Medicago truncatula: one gene and its partners. The protein of the gene in region 2 interacts with the protein of the main gene of each other region in a pairwise test. Links are inferred from orthologs where the notes say so. Each region holds a gene or a part of one and is shown on either strand. Other genes may lie near its edges.

Region 1 (7,415 bases), on a different chromosome or scaffold from region 2:
CCCATCACCTCCTCCACATAGATCTGGATTGGAAGGAAACAACCACCACACAAAAACACCAGACAATTTGTATTTTTCTAAGAGCCGCAAACTCAGCACACGCAAGGAAGAAAACAACCGCAACTATTGTACTAAAACCACCACCAACACCTCCTATTACCTCCAAAACCGAGACTTACCTCACCACTGTCACCACCTCACACCACCATCACTTCCTGCACAGGGATCTGGGACAAAACGAAACAAACACAAAAGAGCCACTACGAAAATCAACGCCAACATATACCAACATATACGAAAACCACCCAAATCTGCCATAACAAACCACCATCAACCCCACCACCATGAGTTGCTACACCACCATCATATGGATCACGCAGAAGAGGAATAAAACCACCGACGAGAACCGCTACGACGGAATGACTACAACACAAATCCGGACACCAACCCACGAATCCAAGGCCATCACCACCGAGAAAGGGTGTTGCGCAACCCATATCAACCACCAAACCACCGCCATCTTGGAATTATACCAAAGGCCGCTGGCGGTCTACGACCACCCCAACATAATATTGACACTTTATAAAAAATAATATTGGAATGATAAAAAATAATATTGACACTTTAATTGCATTTCTTAATCCATGTGTATTTGTTAGAATGACATATAAAATGGAACGGAGGAAGTAGTTTATATCAAACGTGTTTTTAAATGTTGGATTGCCATTCGTCTTGGCCCAAACATATACAAAGTAACATTTGATCTATTAGTTGTCCTATCTTAGAAACTTTTTAGCACCCTGGTATAAAAAGCTTAGAAAATTCCTATAATTGATCAATAACCTAACATTTTCTACTTTTGGCCCCCGTGATATTATATACTTTATTGTTTTATTTTTGAAAGACTTGCAAAAACATGCTATGAAAAATCAATAGCAAAAAAAATTCTATTAATACAATGTCTATCATGATGACACATCATTTCTTAACATATTATAATTCTTCTGAAGTGGTGATAGATTTGAGAGAAGAAAATTTGGTCTAAAAAACTAAACTCAATCCACTCTTTAATGAAAGCTATATGTGAATTTATGTTTGATCATTTTTATTACCACTTATAAAATTCTTTCTTTCAAAAAAGTTTATCGGAGGATAACTTATATCTTTTTATCACATTTTATTTCTTGAACAATTTATTAAGGAAAACATGCAGTAATGAAGCACAAAGTTGTGTGCATTGATTGATCTTGATCATAAATCTTAGATTGGCCGGTTCATATTACACTCATGTAAAATCATCTTTAAATAATCTTTATTGTTGATTTAAGATTAAACGACCAAATGATCAAAAGTAACAAAAAAAGACCATATGATCACATAATTAATGTGTGGCATCTGAATTACATGGATGCATCATATTTTTATTGATAGTATTTTAGCAATTATATACTCATCCGATGTAATATTTTTGCTGTTATAAACAGAGTTTGCATGCAATATTATTTCCCTTGTCTAGTATTGAAGGTGGTTAATTAATTGAAATACAAAACAAAAAATAAACGTACCCAAACTTTCTATGTAAATTTGATTATGGTAAATTTAAAAAGAAAATTCAATCTAAGTAACTTTTCAAGTAGTACAAAGATTTGTTAAAAAAATAGAGTAGTAACTATTTCACAACTGTATAATTTTAACTATGTAATTTTACATGAATCTAATCTATAATTATGTTCCAATTGTGTAACTATTTCACAAAGGCAACCATATATTGGTACACATTCTCTCAAAAAAAAAAAAAAAATTGTGTACACAATTTTTATCCCTCTTCTTTATACTATTATATTAACGGAGAAATGGGTAAGTTTTGACATTTACTATTATGAGTTGTATGAAATGTCCCTTACATATGATTATCACTAACGAGTTTGTACTATTTCTTTTATTTACATTTAATGCATTCTTCTTTGCTTCTTCTGGGAATATTTTTCTCTATATTATTTCTATTCCTAACTTATATTTTTTAAAGAGAAAATGATGCATTAGATTATGAACAATGTTCTATAACAAATACTAACAACAATTTTAACATAGAAAGGAGAAGGAAGCTATGTTACCAAAGTTGCACTTGCAAATATATGGTCATGATCAACTGTTGTTGACTATACCATTTCAACAATAAGATGCTAAGAGTTGTGTGGTTAAAATCATAGCTAAAAAGTTTACATGTAGTTACTAGTTAGACTTAGATATGAAATGAGATTTTATGGTGCCGTTTAGTTATGAGTTTGAATGGTTGAGTATCACTTCGTTGTTGGGAACCAAACACATTTTTAATTAAAATTTATCCTCTTCTCTCTTTTGAACCAAACATATATTTAATTAAAATATCTCCCCTCCATTTTCTTTCACTCCATTAAAATCCATTCCCTCCTCTTCATTGAACCAAATATACCCTTATAGCATTTTTTTAACAAATAGAACAAATAAATTTTGTATTATTAAATTGGTTGTCGTGATTGCTATTATTGATGGTTATAGAAAATTTAACAATACGCATGTATTTATACTAGTTCTAAGCCTCGTTTCGGAAAGAGTTGTGTTATTTAAAAAACTATTTATATGACAACTTTTGAGACAACCATAAATTTATAAAAAAAAAAGTATCGACATAAAAGCCAAAACAATAGAGAGGAAAAATAAAAACATAACATGAGTATGAAAGAGAAAGTTGTCACAAAAGTTGTCAAAATATAATTGTACAAATATTATTTATCTTTTGAAAAGCACGAAGTTATTATGCACAAATCTAACCTCCATGTGTAACTACATCCGACAACCACTAATCTCCAACACAAAGCCCCTGTTTGGTTCTGCGGTAAGATGCCTCAAACGTGCGTTTTTCACTACAAACGGGATTTCATGACACTTGAAGGATGTTTGGCAAGCAGTTGGAAACATGATTCTTCCTTTCAAAATCGATTCCAGTTGAAGCTACCATGTGTAGCTTTTGCGTCTGACTATATAATCAATTTTATGGAAATCACAAGATATTTTACAGCTCTATCCTTTTCATCCCGCGCTTATTTCTTTCTGTTATGTGCTACAGTGTCATTGTCTAGAGGTTAGTAGTGATAAAACTAAGAGAAATGATATTTGAACATTTTTTTTTATAACTTTTGTGACAACTTTTTCTCTCATACTCACATTATGTGTTACTTTATCTCTCTATTGCTTTGATTTTCGTGCAAATACCTACTTTTTCTTTGTAAATTATTGTTGTCACATAAGTTGTCAACCAAATAGTTATTCAAATAACACTTCTCTAAAACTAAATGGCTCTGAAGTCCCATCATTATGTTGAGTCGGTTGCCTTTAATTTTTTTTTCCTTTCTTTATATTATTACCTTTTACTTAATCAACATATTTATGTTTTACTTACTACCCAATCAACGTATTTGACAGTATTTTATTAATCAATTAACATAAAAAAATAATTAAAGAAGATGTAACAAGAAAAATGTATCAATCCACTATATTAACCAAAATAAAAGAAAAACTAATTAAATGATTGAGAAAAAATTTACCAAAATAAATGAAGGAGAGAAAAAAAAAATTAACAAAATAAATGAATGAGAAAATTGATCTATATGTTAAAACCTATTTTGGTCATTTCCACGCTCAAAAGCAATTTTGACACAAAATATCCAAACATCATCTTACATACAAATCAATTTTGCATTGAAGGTATTCAAACACAAACCACTTTATGTTAAACTCACTTTTAACCAAAATCAATTCTGCAAAATTAATTCAATCAAAATCAAATTTTGCCACCGCGTAATCAAACACACGCTAATTCAAAATCAATTTATATGTAATCTCAAAACCAAACATACGCTAGCTTTATTAAAAAATTCAACAAAATTTATATACAACCTATAATTATAGTATTACCGATTAAAACTCGATCAAGTATGATTATAATTTTTTTTAGATAAACAAAATAACAATAGTTATTAAAAACTCACTCATAAAAATAAAAAAATTAAAGTTCAAACTTCGATCACCACAATTAACTTAACATTTTCGTTGTTATTATCTATTGAGAGATGACATATTCATATGAACTCAACTTTCAATCAAGTACTAGTATAGTAGTATTAAATTAAACAAAAAGACATATTTTTTTGACCGACAGATTAAATTAAGCACGTCTAATGATTGTATTAACAGCAAATTGTTGATAATCAACAAAGCTGGTCAATGAAAATAGCAAAAGTCCAAAAAAGAAAATTAAGAAAAAATAATAACAATAAAGAAAAAGAAAAGGTAGACAGAAAAGAAAGGGGAGAGAGAGAAGAAAAAGAAGAGCTGGAATCACATGGACTTGTCTTTCCCTTGCTGGGTCCTCCATTCTCTTCTTCTTACTTTCTCTTCCATTCTCTTCTTCTCTCTTTCTTAGATTCATTCTTCTCTTCTTTCTTCTCTTCCTCCTCCTTCAACCATGTCTGAGGATAAGGTACTTTTTTGTAGCATAAAAATCCCCTTTTTTTTTTTAGCTTTTTTGATTGGTTTGTGAAAAAACTGTGATCCATGAATGCTAAAATTGAAAAAAGTTGTGATTTTTATTGTTTTTGTTGGATTATGAAGCTGTAAATTCATCTGGGTTGTGTGATTTTTGTTTAATTTTTTTTTGTTAGTTGATTAAGGGATTGTTAGGGTTTGTTATTTTGGGGGAAATTTGATTTGTTGCTAAATTTTTTTTGGTCTTTGAGGTTAATAGAGAAAACCCATTTTGCTTATTTTGAAGTTGATCTATGGGTTTCTATGAAGTTTTAATTTTTTTTCTTTATTGAACTGGATTTTTTTTTAATTTTTTTAATTTTTAAGATTTGTTTGTTGCCGACAGTTATGTTATAATCAGATCATGTTCTTATGTTGATGTTGGACTCTCAAGGTTTTGTTTTGTTTGTTTGTCATGAATCTGTGATTGGTTGCTAGTTTTGCTATATGTGTAGTTTATCAGTTTGATTTGCGATTCTGATGAACATGTTTTGGTTCAATTTGTTGTTATCTGTTTCTATCTGTTGTATTGTTTTGAAATTTTAAGATATTTTAGCAAAATATTTTGTTGTGTTGCTTTTTTGTTTCTTACTTCAATTTTTTCAATAAAAGTTTGTCAAAAATTAAGTTTGTTTTCTGGATTGAGTGCTGCTATAGTTCTTGGTCGCTTGGTCTTTAGTTTTTAGCATCTTATTTCCTTCATGGTCGTCTTTTTGCGGTATCATCATATGTTGCGTACCAGATTTGTTTCTTCATGTTATATCTTTTAGAAACTTACCTTTTGTGTTTTTGAGTATGCTGTTGATATGTGATGGTTTAATTAATTGTGTATCTTGTTCTTCATGGTAGTCTTTACTTGCTATTTTTGATGTGTTCATCAATTAGTTAATCATATTGTTTCTATTTTTAACTTCACTTTGAAATCAAACCATCTATAAGTATTTTGTGAGCAATTCCAAATTCTTATGTTCCATCAATTTCAACAGGAGATGTCTACTTCTGTTATCAATGGGAACGATTCCCTCACTGGTCACATTATATCTACAACAATTGGAGGCAAAAATGGAGAGCCAAAACAGGTATCATATTCTGTAAATCCTGTTTTGCTGATAATATTTCAATTTTGAGATTGAGTGATTTGCCGAGTTGTTAACAGTTCCATTTGATAATTTTTCCTGGATTCCAAGTTTGACATCTTGTTCAATGGTTCTTGTAGACTATTAGTTACATGGCAGAGCGTGTCGTAGGAACGGGATCATTTGGAATTGTTTTCCAGGTATGCTAAAGCTAGATTCCTAATTGTTGTTGTCTCCACCATTTTTTTTTGCCGCATGCTGATTTTTCTCTTCTTAGGCAAAATGCTTGGAAACTGGAGAGGCAGTAGCCATTAAGAAGGTTTTGCAAGACCGAAGATATAAGAACCGTGAACTACAATTGATGCGTGTGATGGACCATCCAAATGTGGTCACTTTGAAGCATTGTTTCTTTTCAACTACAAGTACGGATGAACTTTTTCTGAATTTGGTGATGGAATATGTTCCAGAATCCATGTATCGGGTCTTAAAGCACTACAACAATGCTAATCAGAGAATACCGATCATCTATGTAAAACTTTATATGTACCAGGTATGCCTTTAACTTTCTGGCGAATAAAAAACTTCTCTAATTCATTCAGTCATTGGCTGATATAAACTTGTGGTGGGCATGCAGATCTTCAGGGGGTTGGCTTATATCCACACTGTTCCCGGAGTTTGCCACAGGGATTTGAAACCTCAAAATATATTGGTATGTTAATATGCTGTTGCTGGATATACATTTAAAGTTAGAACTCTTTCGTAAACGTAGTAGTTACTTCTGGCCCTGATTTCATTATGTTTGTTCTCCAGGTTGATCCTCTCTCACATCAAGTTAAGCTATGTGATTTTGGAAGTGCAAAAATGCTGGTATGTTGACCTGCTCATCATATTTTAATATGCCTAGTTTTCTTTCTTTGGTGTGCACCTGTATTTTTTTTCCTTTTAATTGAGTATTCAGTAACATTATTATTATTATTAATTGTTTTTTTTCTTTTCATTTTGAGTATTCAGTAACTTAGAATGTCAACCGATAATCAATCAATTTTCATAAAGTTTTGACACTTGTAGATGAGATGTTTGTAATTATTACACTGTGTTGATGTCAGTTTCTTTGCATGATGTCTTTCGCTGCTCAACAGCAAGCTTTGGAGTCTCCCTACACTCTTATTTATTTATTTTATTTCAAAGAATTCATAGTACTTTCATATGGTACTGATTTTAGATTTTTTTTTCTTTGTTCAGGTCAAGGGCGAAGCTAATATATCATACATATGTTCTCGTTTCTATCGAGCTCCAGAACTTATATTTGGTGCCACAGAGTATACTACTTCAATTGATATTTGGTCAGCTGGCTGTGTCCTTGCTGAACTGCTTTTGGGCCAGGTTTGTGCCATTATTTTGTTTTCATACTCACAGTCATCACCATCATCATCTAGTGCAAAATGATGTATTTCTACTAGTATCTTCCACCTATGACCTACCTGTCATCTGATACAATGCTATCTTTTGTAGCCGTTATTCCCTGGTGAAAATGCAGTGGACCAGCTCGTACATATTATAAAGGTGCTTGGAACACCCACCCGGGAGGAAGTACGCTGCATGAATCCCAATTACAATGACTTCAGGTTTCCGCAAATAAAAGCACACCCATGGCACAAGGTCTGCTTCTCTCTTCTTCGACTGCTGATTTTTTAGATGATCAAAATTTGAGTTGCTTTGACAATATTGCATATTCTAATACTTCTTTCTAAATTGTGCAGATCTTCCACAAAAAGA
Region 2 (7,366 bases):
AAATGACCTTGGCATTTAATTTGTTAATGTAATTTATTTAATATTGATCACTGGCAGCAACAGGTCACTCATATTGTATTGACCTACAAATACAAGTTACCACACCAGCATAAAAAAAATAAAATTGTCAAGACTAGTCTCTTACCAAACAAGACCCATGTTGCTTGCGTACCTTAAACGGCACCGTCAAAGATTACATGGTTCAAGCAGATTCAAAAAAGTTCGTATAATAACTCGGGCGCCATTTACGGTAGGAGAGGTGAATAGGTCTCCTATCGTAGGAGACCGTATAAAAAGACAATTTTTTTTTTGTTGTTAAAATAACATGTGTTTAAGTTAAATTCTATTTAAGTTATTCATTTAACTGCAAGGACAGTGTTGGTATTTCATCTTAAATAAAAAATTATTTTTCCATCTAGATCTGGAAATTGTTAAATTATTTTTTTTGTTTAAGTTAAATTATTTTTGCTTCAACTTCTTTCGTGTTTGTGAGAGGAAATTGTGGCAAGTTAGAGAAGTTTTGTTATTTTTATCATATCCATTCTACCCTTGAGTTTTCACTTGGAGGGAATAAACATGGAACGCATGAGCTTGCTATGAATTTTTCCAGTTTTTCCAACAATGCCAAAAACATCCTTTCTTAAATTTGAATCCAAAATCAATTGCATTTTTATAAATCAATATATATGTTAAAAAAATACAATCCTAGTGGGTCACTTATTGCAAATCTCAGCCATTCAAAAGCTTCAAAGTAAATTCAATGGTTGACATCCATTTTTCAAAAAAAAAAAAAAAAAAAACAGGTCTCCTACGGTAGGAGACCTATGAATGTCATGGACCGTAGCCTTTGCCAATAACTCGATCTAAGAAATTTAACTAGACGTGATAATCATAAATATTGTAAAAATGTTTGAGAAATTATGCGTAGATTGATGATGATGTGTCGATACTGTTTCCAAGGTGAACCCTGACTTGGATCTCTTTAAAACACGTTTCCTTAATATTTTGGTGCAAAACTTTAACGTGGCAATGATTTTCATTTATGTATTTATAGAGATTTAAAACTGGGTTGAGCCGTACTTTAAACTAACGGATCCTGCGGTAGAAACAAGGGGTGTTAAATGCTCGTGGTTTAGGCAAACTTGTTGTAAGCGATGCACACGTGGCAATATGGAAAGTTAACATCACGATGGGCAACATCCTTGCTTTGAATTTTCACCTTTTTTTTTAGTTTGAATTGCATTTGATGTATCCATTAAAAGTTGGGTTGATGATGCTTTATCCGTGTAATATATGTGATTTTCAGTTTTTTTTCTATATTTTTTTTTTTTAGTTATCCCTTTATAAAAAAAGTTTGTTTTGGAAAACCCCCTATGATATATATATATATATATATATCACTCAAAAATCTCTCACTAAAATTAAATTTGAGTTTGAGCATTACTATAAATATAACTCAGTTGAGAGTGATGTGATAGTATACCAAAATCGAAACCACAATTTCGAATTCTCATCTTACTGATCTTATAAAGTGAATTTTTACCTATTGAATTACTTGAGAAAAAACGATACAGATTGAAAGTGTGTATCTCAAGGTGAGTAATTGCTTAAATCGTAATCTTTGACTTTCCTCTTACTATCATAAATCTATCATTTACTCCCTCCATTTCAAAATAAGTACTCCATCCGTTCCTTGTATCACTTTTGGAGAAAAAATTTGTTCCTATTTAACTGTCACTTTCAAAGTTCAATGTAACATTAAATGTTGTTTTACCAATATTATTCTTAGTTATTTATTGTGGAGAGAGAAATATATGAAATGACATATTAAATGAATAAGGTCATTATAGTAAAAGTACAGCTTATTGCATCAAAAATAGTATCAATTGTTGATTGTCTTGGTTTGTGTAAAACGTCAAAATGTGACAATTAAAAAGGAATGAAAGTAGTATCATTTTAGCAAAAAAAAATTGTTTCAAAATGAATGTCACTTTCAGTTTTCAATGCAATAATAACTTTTTCTTTTCAATTGTACATTTCAATTAATATTATGTTACATTACTTCCAAAGTATTATTTTTTCTTTAATGAAAAACAAACCAATAGTTGATTAGGATAATTTGGTAAAATTGTTATGACATTTGACTACTTTATTTCATTCCTTAATATATGTGCAATTGACTAAAATGACACTCATTTTGAAACGGATTGAGTAATTTTTTTTTTGTTTTGGTGAAATTTTCCTTTTTATTGCCGTTATTAATCAGCACTTATATGAAATAACCATGGATAGTTTTGACCGTCTGTAGTAAATATTATTAGAGCATCCACAATGAAGACCCTCAAATTGAAGGTTTTAAGCGGATCCCACGTGTACACATCATTTTATTTTATTTTATAATAACAGTACCTAATAGGTACTCGGTCACTCCAATGAAGATCTTATAACAAAAAGTCTAAATAGGTCCCACCACTAACATATTATTTTACGCTTAAATGCTTTTTTGGTCCCTTAACTATTTAATTGGTATCGCTTTGGTCCCTTAACTAAAAAAAAGATTGTTTGAGGATTTTAAGTTTTTTTTTAGTATCGTTTTGGTCCCTTCTGTTAGGTTTCCGTTAGGGTTTTAAAAAAATGTTAACTCCTGGACACGTGTCACCTTGTCATTGGCTCTGAGTTTTTTTTTAATATATATATATATATATATATATATATATATATATATATATATATATTTTAAAAAAAAATCCCAAAGCCAATGGCAAAGTGACACGTGTCCCAAAGTTAACACGTGTCATCTTGTCATTGGTTCTGGGAATTTTTTACAAAAAAATAAAATATATATATTTAAAAAAATTAACTTTTTTTTTTATAAAAAATATATTTTTTTGTAAAAAAAAAAATCTCAGAGTCAATGACAAGGTGACACGTGTCCACACTTAACGTTTTTTATTAAAACCAACGGAAACCTAACAGAAGAGACCAAAACGAGACTAAAAAATACTTAAAATCATCAAACAATCTTTTTTTTAGTTAAGGGACCAAAGTGATACAAATTAAATAGTTAAGGGACCAAAAGAGCATTTAAGTCTTTATTTTAATAAAAAAGTGTGTGTGGACCACTTAAAGATGAGGTCTTAAGTTAGACCTCATCTCTTAGAAGACCCCTAAAAAAAAAATTTACAATAAAAGTACCTATTAGATATTAAATCTTAAATGGTGAAGACTTTACCATTGTAGATGCTCTTATTAATGAAAGGTCCAATTAGTCCCATATTAGGGGATCTTACTAATATTATATGAATTTTTCACATTCGACACGGAATGTTGGAAAATAATTTTGGTAGAGATAATAATATACCCCAATAGAGGGGCAATAATGTTGGTTGATGAGATAAGAAAAGCAATCTCTAAGACGGAAATGGGGGCGACAACTCCTGTTCAATCTTCACGTTTCAGTGCTGCCCTTACTGCCCAAGCGCATCAAACCTCTTATATTATCACAACTCATACAACCGGCTCCTTAAAATCAATTTTTATTTTATATCACTGCCCATACGTTACAAATTTATTATTTATTATTCATTCCAATTAATTAATTTAATCAATTGAATGCATAAATCTAGGAGAAAAATATATATATTTTTTTTTAAAATTAAACCATATTCATAAACACTTGGATTGGATGAAATAATGAAGGGTATTTTATAATTGTTTTAAGTTCAAATATATCATAAAATAAAATACAAGTGTTAATTTTTTTTATAAAGTGTTTAATTTTGTATCATAGTTTTATTCGATAAAAAAATGTCTTGTTAATCCGTACTTTAAGGACAATGGTTAAGAATTTAAAAGAGGAACTAATTTATGAATTTTATATAAAAAAGTTTTTATTTTTAATTTTTAATATAGTGAAAACACAAGTTTCAATAAATTTTTTTTTCCTTAGACTCTTAAAAAAAATTAATCTTTACAATTATGCGTAGAAATATTTGATAAAAAATGTAAAAAAGGTGAGGAAGTAACAAGGGAAAGTTAAGTAACGCGGATGGTGTTAAATGCACCCTTCTTACCCGTACCCCATTACACTGCCCGTCCACAGCACGACAACGCCATTTCCCAATAAAAACATGACAACTTTCCCGCGACCGTTAAGACAAACGCCGTTACTTTCTCCATCCAATCCTATCTTGACGTCTATTAACACCGTTTATTCTTACCCCCTTATTTCCAATGAGCCGCCTTTTATTTATGGCGTTGTTTGCGTTTCCCTAGCACCAAAACTTCCTCACTTCTGATACCCGGTTGGAAAAGCAGGTAAACCTGTTATCACCGGTTGTATCTCATTTAACCGCGGTTAAAATCATTGACCACTCTAGTTAAAGTCCTCTCTTCCGACACTCCTTCTGGTCCTCCTGCTACCATTTATCATCATCATCTTAGAGAGAGAGAGAGATAAAAATAACAAAACAAAATATTGAGAGAGAGAGAGAGATAGAAAACTTAGAGAGAGAAAGTGGGTAGTTGAACGAGTCATCGTCAATTGAAGGCTTGTTTCTTTGTTTTTGAAGATCAAGAAGAAGAACGTTGTTGTTGTTGTTGAGTTTTCATGAAGAGTGGATGTTTGGGATGAGAGATCTGGAAGAAGAAAGAAACATGGCATCATCAGAAGTATCTATGAAGGGAAATTCTGTCAACGGAAAAGGTGAAAACAACGTTGATGGTGTTGGAGATGCTCAAAATGGTTCTTCATCGTCATCAACAGGAAGAGGTAACAACGTTAACGTGGTTTTATCTGTAATTAAGGTTTTGTGTAACAAATTATGGAGTGATAATGTTTTTTTTTTCTTTTCATTTTTCCAGAAGCTGAAGCTGCACTTTACAGAGAACTATGGCATGCGTGTGCTGGTCCTTTGGTAACAGTTCCAAGAGAAGGAGAACTTGTGTTCTATTTTCCACAAGGACATATTGAACAGGTAACACAAACATTACCTATTTTCCGACAATTATCTTTCATGGTTTGGTTCTTGTTTTCTTTAGTTAAGTTAGCTACCGGTTTATCTGTGTGTCAACTCAGATTTGTCACACTTAACTCGTTTTGGTTCCTAATTTAGCAGCATCTGGGTTTTTTCTTTTTTATATTAGAATTAGAGTTATTATGATGATGATTATGGTGAAATTAACATAATTCCATACATTAGGTGGAAGCTTCAACAAATCAAGCATCGGAACAACACATGCCGGTTTACGATCTCCGACCTAAGATCCTTTGTCGGGTCATCAACGTTATGCTAAAGGTAAATTTTCCTCTTTTCCTTTTTTTTTTTTGAATAATTTAATAAATTCCTTTCTTTTTCTAACAGTAACACAGTTGTTTTGTTTGTGTAATTATAAAATATAATAAAATTATTTATCTTTTAATTATTGATTAATTTTTGTATATTTTTTTGTAGGCGGAGCCAGATACTGATGAGGTGTTTGCACAAGTGACTTTGGTACCAGAGCCCAATGTGAGTTTTTCCACTAATTTTCTTTTGGTTTCTTTGGTTTGGAGTAACAAACACAGCATGTTCTTATTTTTTTCTTTGTGTGTTGTTTTGGATTGTGGATCTGGATGATATTGTAGCAAGATGAAAATGCTGTTGAGAAAGAAGCTCCACCTGCTCCTCCGCCGAGATTTCATGTTCATTCGTTTTGTAAAACGTTGACCGCATCTGATACCAGTACTCATGGTGGTTTTTCTGTACTTAGACGACATGCTGATGAATGTCTTCCTCCTCTGGTTTGTTCTCTGTTCCCTCTTCTTCCTCCTTCTGTTTTTCCATATGGATGAAATTGATGGTGTTTGTTGTTTGGTGATAGGATATGTCAAAGCAACCACCTACACAGGAATTGGTGGCCAAGGATCTGCATGGGAATGAGTGGCGTTTTAGGCATATTTTTCGCGGTAATTACTAGTCCATCTTAAACTGTTGACCACTTGATTTATTTCTTATTAATTTTTGTTCATTTTTTTTTTTTTTTTTTTTTGTGTTTGATGTGTGAGGTGAATTGATTTCAGGTCAACCGCGTAGACATTTGCTGCAGAGTGGTTGGAGTGTTTTTGTCAGTTCTAAGAGGCTGGTTGCTGGGGATGCATTTATATTTCTGAGGTTTGCTTAGTTGTTATAACATCATTTTTGAATTAGTGTTTTTTTGTTGTTGTTGGTGATTTTGACTAATTTAGGATTTTTCCAGAGGTGAGAATGGGGAGCTTCGAGTTGGTGTCAGGCGTGCAATGAGACAGCAGGGTAATGTTCCATCCTCGGTTATCTCTAGCCATAGCATGCATCTTGGTGTTCTTGCAACTGCCTGGCATGCTGTTTTGACTGGGACCATGTTCACTGTTTATTACAAACCCCGGTATGCAATTTGTTCTTAAACCATGTCTGCTCTGTTCTAACTATTATCTGATTTGAGTGTTCTTTCTGATTTATTTCCCTAGGCATTGAGTTTACACCGTTCTTGCTCATGTTTCTTCTGCAGGACTAGTCCAGCGGAGTTTATTGTTCCGTATGATCAATACATGGAGTCTCTAAAAAATAATTATACAATAGGCATGCGGTTCAAAATGAGGTTTGAGGGTGAAGAGGCTCCTGAGCAAAGGTGTGAATGATCAAAACAATAATGTCTTTTTTCTCTGTTTAAGTTTTAATGTTACTACTGCTTGCTGGTTATGTCCATTTATTCTTTATCTAATGGTTTATTTTGATTTGGTTTTTGTATGTGTAGGTTTACGGGTACCATTGTTGGAATTGAAGATTCCGACTCCAAAAGATGGCCAACATCTAAATGGAGATGTCTCAAGGTTAGATGGGATGAAACATCTAACATACCTCGTCCTGAGAGAGTTTCCCCTTGGAAAATAGAGCCTGCTCTTGCTCCTCCAGCTCTAAATCCTCTTCCAATGCCCAGGCCTAAAAGGCCCCGTGCTAACGTGGTGCCGTCATCCCCAGATTCTTCTGTTCTTACCCGCGAAGGTATTGTGAGAACTTGATATTTCTAAGAATTCCTCCTTTGCGTTGTGGTTTTTGTATGAAGCCTGATTTGTTTTTGCTGATCAATTAACAGCATCGTCAAAAGTAAGCATGGACCCTTTGCCCACTAGTGGTTTCCAGAGGGTCTTGCAAGGTCAAGAATCATCGACCTTGAGAGGAAATTTGGCTGAAAGCAACGACTCTTACACTGCAGAGAAGTCTGTTGCGTGGACTCCTGCAACTGATGAAGAAAAGATGGATGCTGTTTCTACTTCAAGAAGGTATGGTTCAGAGAACTGGATGCCAATGTCAAGGCAGGAACCAACGTATTCGGACCTTCTGTCGGGATT
Region 3 (6,634 bases), on a different chromosome or scaffold from region 2:
TTTAGGTTCGTATCACTTCGGTCTCCATCTCTGCATATTAGGACATTAGTGTCTCATTGTATTTTCAAGGAATCACATGTGTATCGAATGTTGCTAATTAGGAACTTAAAAGCAATTAAATTCCGTTGAATTGTACTCTATCCGTTCCAAAATAACTTACTTTGATCATATTTTTAAACTAATATACAAATATAAATATTAGCATGTAAATTGTTTTATTTCAATGAATATTTTTTAAAATTTTTATTATAGATAATCAAATATATTAATGATTAAAATTGTGTATTGACATATATTCCGTGATTGATTGAGATATGTATTTTAAAACGGAAATGATAAACGAACACAAACCTTTAAACACAATTTCGACATCACCGTATACTTGTACGGTATTTTTCATTTTTTTAATTTCTTTTATTTTTCTTTCCCTCTTCTCCTCTACTGCAACCCTCACTCACTCTCTCTCCTCTTCAACCTCCTTCGATCTCTCTCCACACAAACATGCTCAGCCTCCGCTCCCTCTTCGATAAGCTTCCGACCGCCGCAACATCCACCATTTCTCTCCGGCAGCGTGTGACGGCAGGCGTAACATCCAGATCTAGACATCATTTGAAGGTCCGCGATGGTGTTGACGATGACGGGAGGCGATGATTGATGATGGTGATTGTGAGGAAGAGGTGTGGTGCTGACAGTGGGAGGTTGGTGGTGGTGGGGAGGCCAACGGTGGGAGATCTGGAGGACAGTGAGAGTTCAGAGAGATGGAGAGAGAAAGAGAATGGACGGGGGTCACTGCGTCGGAGGATGGTGACGGTGGTGGTGGGAGGACGGAGGTGTTGCGAGGACAGTGGTTATGGACTTGTGGTTCAGTTCTGAGAGAAACTAAACAGAAGAGAGAATGAATGATGTGGCACGAGGTAGAGAAACAAAAGAGGGTGTGTGGTGGTTTTACAAAGCTGCCCTTAACTTAAGGTTGAAATGACAAAACTGGATGTTGGTATTGTGTTTAAAATTTTGTGTCTAGTTATCATTCCTCGTTTTAAAATGGAAAGGATAGTGGTTTGCCAAATTATTTCATAAAACCGTGTCTAACTTTTTTAGCTATACGTGCATTGTGGTGAAGTTTAAAGGCAATTCCAGCTTGTTTTGCTAAAAGTTTAAGGTGATTTAAAATATATTTAATGATGTCGTACGTTTTGTTTTTAACAGTAATCAAGGTCAACATTATCCAACTTATCCTCTAAACTAGGCTCTGCCCACATTGAGTTGAAATAGTGACCCTTGAAGCCATGCACACAATGTGAACCAGTTAAGCAAAAACATGCCGTTGAAAATAAATAATTATAAAGTAAATTACACTCTTCTCCCTTCAAAGATACTTAAATTACACTTCCATCTCCTCTTATGTTAAAATATACACTCTGCTCCCTTGAAAAAAAATTATACTTCCCTATCATATAAGATGCTTGAATTACAATCACCTCCCTTAATAAATAAATATGCATTACACTTTAATCTATTTTAACATAAATAAATATTTTTATGATATATATAAATTTTGAACCACCATTTAAGGAAAATAAATTCATCACTTTATAATTTAAATGTCAATGATAATTAAATTTGAATATTTTCTTATTAATTTTATAATTTAGAATATAAAATTAACTTTTAAATAACCATACTTTATTGTCTTTAGTAATTTTTCACATATTTTAATTTTATTTTGGGTTGTTTCGTATTTTATAATAAGGTTTAAAATTATATGTTAATGCAACTGTGAATAAAAATATAGGGAAAAATATGTATTCAAATTTTGATTATATTAAAATAGACCCGCAATACCATTTTTTTTAATTATGTTAGATTATCAATTTTTTTGCTAGATTATTAGAAATAAAAAAAAATTATTGAGGAAGTAAAGTTTAGGTCTTAACATAAAAGGGGAGGGGAATGTAATTCAAGCTTCTCTTAGGGGAGGGAAGTGAAATATTTTCTAATGTGTTTTGAATAAAAGGGGGGGGGGGAGTGTATATTTCAACTTAAGAGGGGAGGGGAGTGTAATTCATGCATCTTTGAGGGAAGGAGAGTGTAATTTACTCATAATTATACCCTAAATTGTTAGTTACAATTATTAATTGTTTACTGTTTCACAAAGAAAATAAGAGTTTCTAGTTAAGAGTTTAGGGGAACCCTTAAATTATAGTGACATACATGTCTCTTTTAGTTGAATAACCACATGTCTCTTATTTTTTATGAAGAAAAAAAAAAAGTGAACCGAGCATCATAACAAATGTATTTTAATATTTACCTTACCCATCAATGAGATTCTAACCTGAGTACGGAACTTGAACTCATACCTTTATAAACAGAAACAAATGGATGAAGGTGTATGTAATTGGGAACAGTTCCAACTTGTTTATTCTGCTAGCCGTGATTATTAAATGATTGTTTTTTCCTATAACTGTGATCGGAGGGTGTATATAATTAGTAGATATTAATATATCTTCAATATTTTGGATATAAAATGGTAAAGTTTTTTAGCTTCGACACCCCTATATGTCACCCAGTCACCACTAATCGAGATATTTGAATATGTTGCTCCTTGTAAAAGAATAAGTCAACTTCTTAACAACAAATCTAACATGCGTTTATAATTCTAGAGGGTTTTGTATCAACTTATTCATGGTTTCAATTTCTTTCTTTGATCATTTATTTTAAATTTTTTTGGTACAGGGTTTGTATCAATTTACTATTTCTTCGAGTGAATTTGTGTTTTGCACGTTCCACTTCATATACTACTTGAATTCATTGCTTGTAATTTTATTAGATTTTTAGTGATCGAGCAAATTAAACGCATTACTTTGGGTCTCTAAATGTTGCAAACCTTTCGGCGACTGCAGCGCGGTCGTCTCCGTTGCTCATGCACACTGCAATTTTCAAGATTGTTTTAAGCTTTCTTTAGTCTAATCTCGTGTGCAAAGCTTATAGGCTTGCTTTTTCTTGACGCATTCAATTAAAATTGTGTGGCCATCCCAATGAAAATTGTAGTATTATTGTAATTCATCTCGACAACATCACCCACCATAAATCTAAATGCAAGTTTTTTTTTTTTTTTTTTTGACACAACAAATTTGAAGGTTTACTATTAAAGATGTAAATAGGTCAAACCGACCGACCGATCGAGTGGGATAAAAACCTAGTCATTCTTAAAAAAGATCTTTTAATTATCGAAAACCTAGTCTTTGGAGACATGTTATTACTACTATGTTTTCCATTCCAAGTTATGGTGATATTGATCGTCATGAATATGCCTGGAAGTTTACCAATCATGAAGAGTATAATGTGAAATCGTCCTACCATATTATTGTGGAGGACCGAGTGGATAAATAGTATTCTTCGTGTTAATGGAAATTGAGTGAAAATTTGAAAGTTGAAAGGCTAAAATATGGTTTTGAATGCCTCATTTTGGTTTTCGTCTATGTAATTCTTTTTTTTTTGTTCTTGGTCCCTGCAAATATGTCTCGTTTTGGTTTTCGTCTCTGACCTCACTTTTGTGATGATTTACACACGTGACATATGATAACCGAACCCATTTATTAGAAAAATAGTCCCTGCAAAATCTTTTGATTTTTAAAAAGGTTCTTGCAAAATATTTTGCAGGGACCAAAAACAACAATTTTTTTTACAGGGACTAAAACCAAAACGGGACATATTTGCAGGGACCAAAACCATATTTTAGCCAGCTTAAAAATTCCTCAAAAAGTAAAGGTGTTCCTTTAGCGTGTAGTTCTGAGTTGTGTCTTTCTAGACATTGTCATCAAGTGTGTTCTAAATTGTTTTGATCACTACATTCATTCTAATGTTAATTATGAAAATGAACGGGATACATTTTTTGGATGTAACAAAGTCCAATAGGTATGAGCCGCGAGTGGATTATGGTCAACCATACACACCCTTAACCGTTTTAAGAGATAAGAACTACTCTAGTTTGAAAAGTAAATGAGATATTTATGAGAAATGATATTTGTATAATTAATTTGTGATAATTTTTTGACAACTTTCTCTCTAATACTTACGTTATTCTCTTTCCATTGTTTTTGATCAATAAAAAGAGAAAAAAAAAATTATCACAAAAGTTGTTCAAATATTACTACTTATATTTTATAAGGGAAAAATTAGTAGTAATAGTTATAGGATTTGAGTATACTATTAAATATGATCTTGAAAAAGTAAAACTAAGCCACGAGAGTGGGGTGGATTCTAGACATCTATCTGACCACTCCCGACATTTGTGCTTACTACATGTACATTTTCATTTCTCAACATCAATCAAATATATATATGTATCATCAAATATAGTGCCCCAGGAACACCACAAACAAACCCTTTTCTGTTTTGATCCATTTCTACCTACAATTAGATTCAAAATTAACTAGTTACATCCAATTACCATTTGCACTAGGACTCTTGAGTGCACAACTGCACATGCACATATATTTCCTCTTCTTTGGTAAATTTGCACAACTATACTCATGATGAACAGTTTTGACCCCCAAAGATGGCAACAAGATCATAGAAGACAGAAAAATATCATAGGTGCATCATCTTCAACTAGTTCTTCATCTTTGGCTAATTTCTATGCCAGTAATAATAAAAAAACCAAGTACAACAAACTTCAAACACTCTCACATGGGCTTGAGCTGGATGATGATCTTGTCTCTAGTAGTGTAGTTCCTGCTGTGACAGTTGTGTTGGAGGGCCGTTCGATCTGCCAACGCATCAGCCTTCACAACCACGGTAGCTACCAAAGTCTGGCCAAGGCTCTCCGCCAGATGTTTGTCGATTGCACGGATGACTGCGACGCCGGTGATCATCATCTTGATCTTTCTAATGCCATTCCTGGTCATGTTATTGCCTATGAAGACATGGAGAATGATCTTCTTCTTGCTGGTGATCTTACCTGGAAGTAAGCATCGATCTTGTTCATCTCTCAATTATATATATAAATTTCTCTCTTCCTTAATTAATTATTATGAGCTATTTAATTTGCTTGTTTATAAATGCTTGAGAAAAATATAGCTTCTAAATGAAAAACTATATAATCAGTTGTCAATCATGCCATATAATTCCTGTAAAAAAAATAAAAAAATCATGCCATATAAATAGTTGAAAATTTTACGTTACTATAATACTTCAGATTGTATTCTTGTCAAAAAAAATTAAAATAATACTTCATATTGTGGTGGCTGATGGTTCCATCCAAACCACTTTAATTTTTGTGTTAACCCTCCTGTTCTTATCAGAAAGAGGTCTGGAGTTTGGTTGTTCCATCCAAGAATTAAGTTCAGATTCTCCTGAAGATATGTCATTTGGTAAAACTCATTAACCATTTGATCATAATCACTTGATTAACTTATATTCTATTATTTGTTATTAGAAGAATAAAAATTTGAATTACCAACATAAATTAGAATTGAAAACATATATAAAGAGTCTTTTTCAAATTTTGTGTCGCTGACACTTAACAATTAACATTACATTTGAGATGGATTTTTTTTTTTCGTTTTTAATTTTTATTTTGTAAATTCAATTTTTTAATAGAGCTAATTGGCTTATAATTTGTATTTATTTATTATTATAAGCATGCATTGATTATTATTATTCTGATAGTTATGTTATGTGTGTTTGCATTCAGAGATTTTGTACGTGTGGCAAAGAGAATTCGGATACTTCCAGCGAAGGGGAACTCAAGGAAAGGTACAAGAAGTACAGGAGAGGCATAAGCTTATCTACCACATCAAAAACATGAAAGATGGTTAATCGTTTTGGGATTGTTAATTTAATTTGTACTTTCAGGAAAAGTATGAAGTAAATTAAAATAATTTGGCTATATAAAGATGGTCAGTAATAAGATCGGTGTACTAATATAACGCCAGCAAGAAATGCTGGTTGATTATGAGTAAGTTAATTAATCCAATTGAAATTACATGTAAGTAAAGTTGTGCTTTAATTTGTATGAATAAAAGGGATATTGATTCTGAAAAATGATATTGTATAACACACATCATTTTTACTAACAATCAGCAAAAGTATTTTGTTTTTTCTGAAAAAGGACACTTTTATGTATGTGTGTGTGTATATATAGAATAAAACTAATAGATACATTGATAAGCAAGAGAGTGGGAGAGATATGATAAGTGATACATTGAATCTAGAGGAGAGATTGGGAGTTAACGAAGTGTCTGAATGGTTTAGGAGAAGTTAAATATCTATAGAAAGAAGGTATCTAAAAGTTTCACCAAAAATAGAAGATATCTACAAATATTATGCAAAGGCTAGTTTTAATTTATATATGGAATCGTTATTTTTTTATTTTTTTGTCACGATATGCAATCGTTATTTATTTATTTAATTTTTTTTAATAGATTTTAGAAGAAGAAAAAAATCTAGGTATTGTTAGATTTTTATCTAAAAAAAAAATATAGTGTGTGCTTGTTAGAAGCTTTTTTTTGTTAGGAGCTTAATCATGTGTAAACTTTTTGTAGAAGGTGTATCTGCAAAAGTTGAAAGATATATAGCTTTTAATTTAAAGGGAAACTTGATCGGCTGAGATCTTCATTCAAGCATTCATTTA

Evidence for each region.
Region 1: the proteins of auxin response factor 2B (region 2) and shaggy-related protein kinase eta interact in binary tests that used the Arabidopsis thaliana proteins (3 or more experiments, as listed by UniProt). The link is inferred for Medicago truncatula from reciprocal best matches to the Arabidopsis thaliana genes ARF2 and BIN2.
Region 3: the proteins of auxin response factor 2B (region 2) and auxin-responsive protein IAA33 interact in binary tests that used the Arabidopsis thaliana proteins (3 or more experiments, as listed by UniProt). The link is inferred for Medicago truncatula from reciprocal best matches to the Arabidopsis thaliana genes ARF2 and IAA33.

Annotation. Positions count from the first base shown.
Region 1 is NC_053043.1:5,064,099-5,071,513, forward strand, and holds the start of shaggy-related protein kinase eta, read left to right. Parts: upstream 1-4,326; 5' UTR 4,327-4,504; coding exon 4,505-4,519; intron 4,520-5,549; coding exon 5,550-5,642; intron 5,643-5,779; coding exon 5,780-5,839; intron 5,840-5,916; coding exon 5,917-6,189; intron 6,190-6,273; coding exon 6,274-6,348; intron 6,349-6,449; coding exon 6,450-6,506; intron 6,507-6,881; coding exon 6,882-7,022; intron 7,023-7,151; coding exon 7,152-7,298; intron 7,299-7,399; coding exon 7,400-7,415. UniProt on the Arabidopsis thaliana protein: Negative regulator in brassinosteroid signal transduction pathway important for plant growth. May be also involved in auxin signaling pathway. Phosphorylates and increases the degradation of BZR1 and BZR2/BES1 by the proteasome.
Region 2 is NC_053049.1:44,357,093-44,364,458, forward strand, and holds the start of auxin response factor 2B, read left to right. Parts: upstream 1-4,307; 5' UTR 4,308-4,620; coding exon 4,621-4,771; intron 4,772-4,863; coding exon 4,864-4,976; intron 4,977-5,201; coding exon 5,202-5,297; intron 5,298-5,453; coding exon 5,454-5,510; intron 5,511-5,626; coding exon 5,627-5,782; intron 5,783-5,862; coding exon 5,863-5,947; intron 5,948-6,061; coding exon 6,062-6,152; intron 6,153-6,237; coding exon 6,238-6,402; intron 6,403-6,525; coding exon 6,526-6,645; intron 6,646-6,771; coding exon 6,772-7,019; intron 7,020-7,110; coding exon 7,111-7,366. UniProt on the Arabidopsis thaliana protein: Auxin response factors (ARFs) are transcriptional factors that bind specifically to the DNA sequence 5'-TGTCTC-3' found in the auxin-responsive promoter elements (AuxREs). Could act as transcriptional activator or repressor.
Region 3 is NC_053045.1:61,448,310-61,454,943, forward strand, and holds auxin-responsive protein IAA33, read left to right. Parts: upstream 1-4,266; 5' UTR 4,267-4,532; coding exon 4,533-4,966; intron 4,967-5,695; coding exon 5,696-5,783; 3' UTR 5,784-6,045; downstream 6,046-6,634. UniProt on the Arabidopsis thaliana protein: Aux/IAA proteins are short-lived transcriptional factors that function as repressors of early auxin response genes at low auxin concentrations.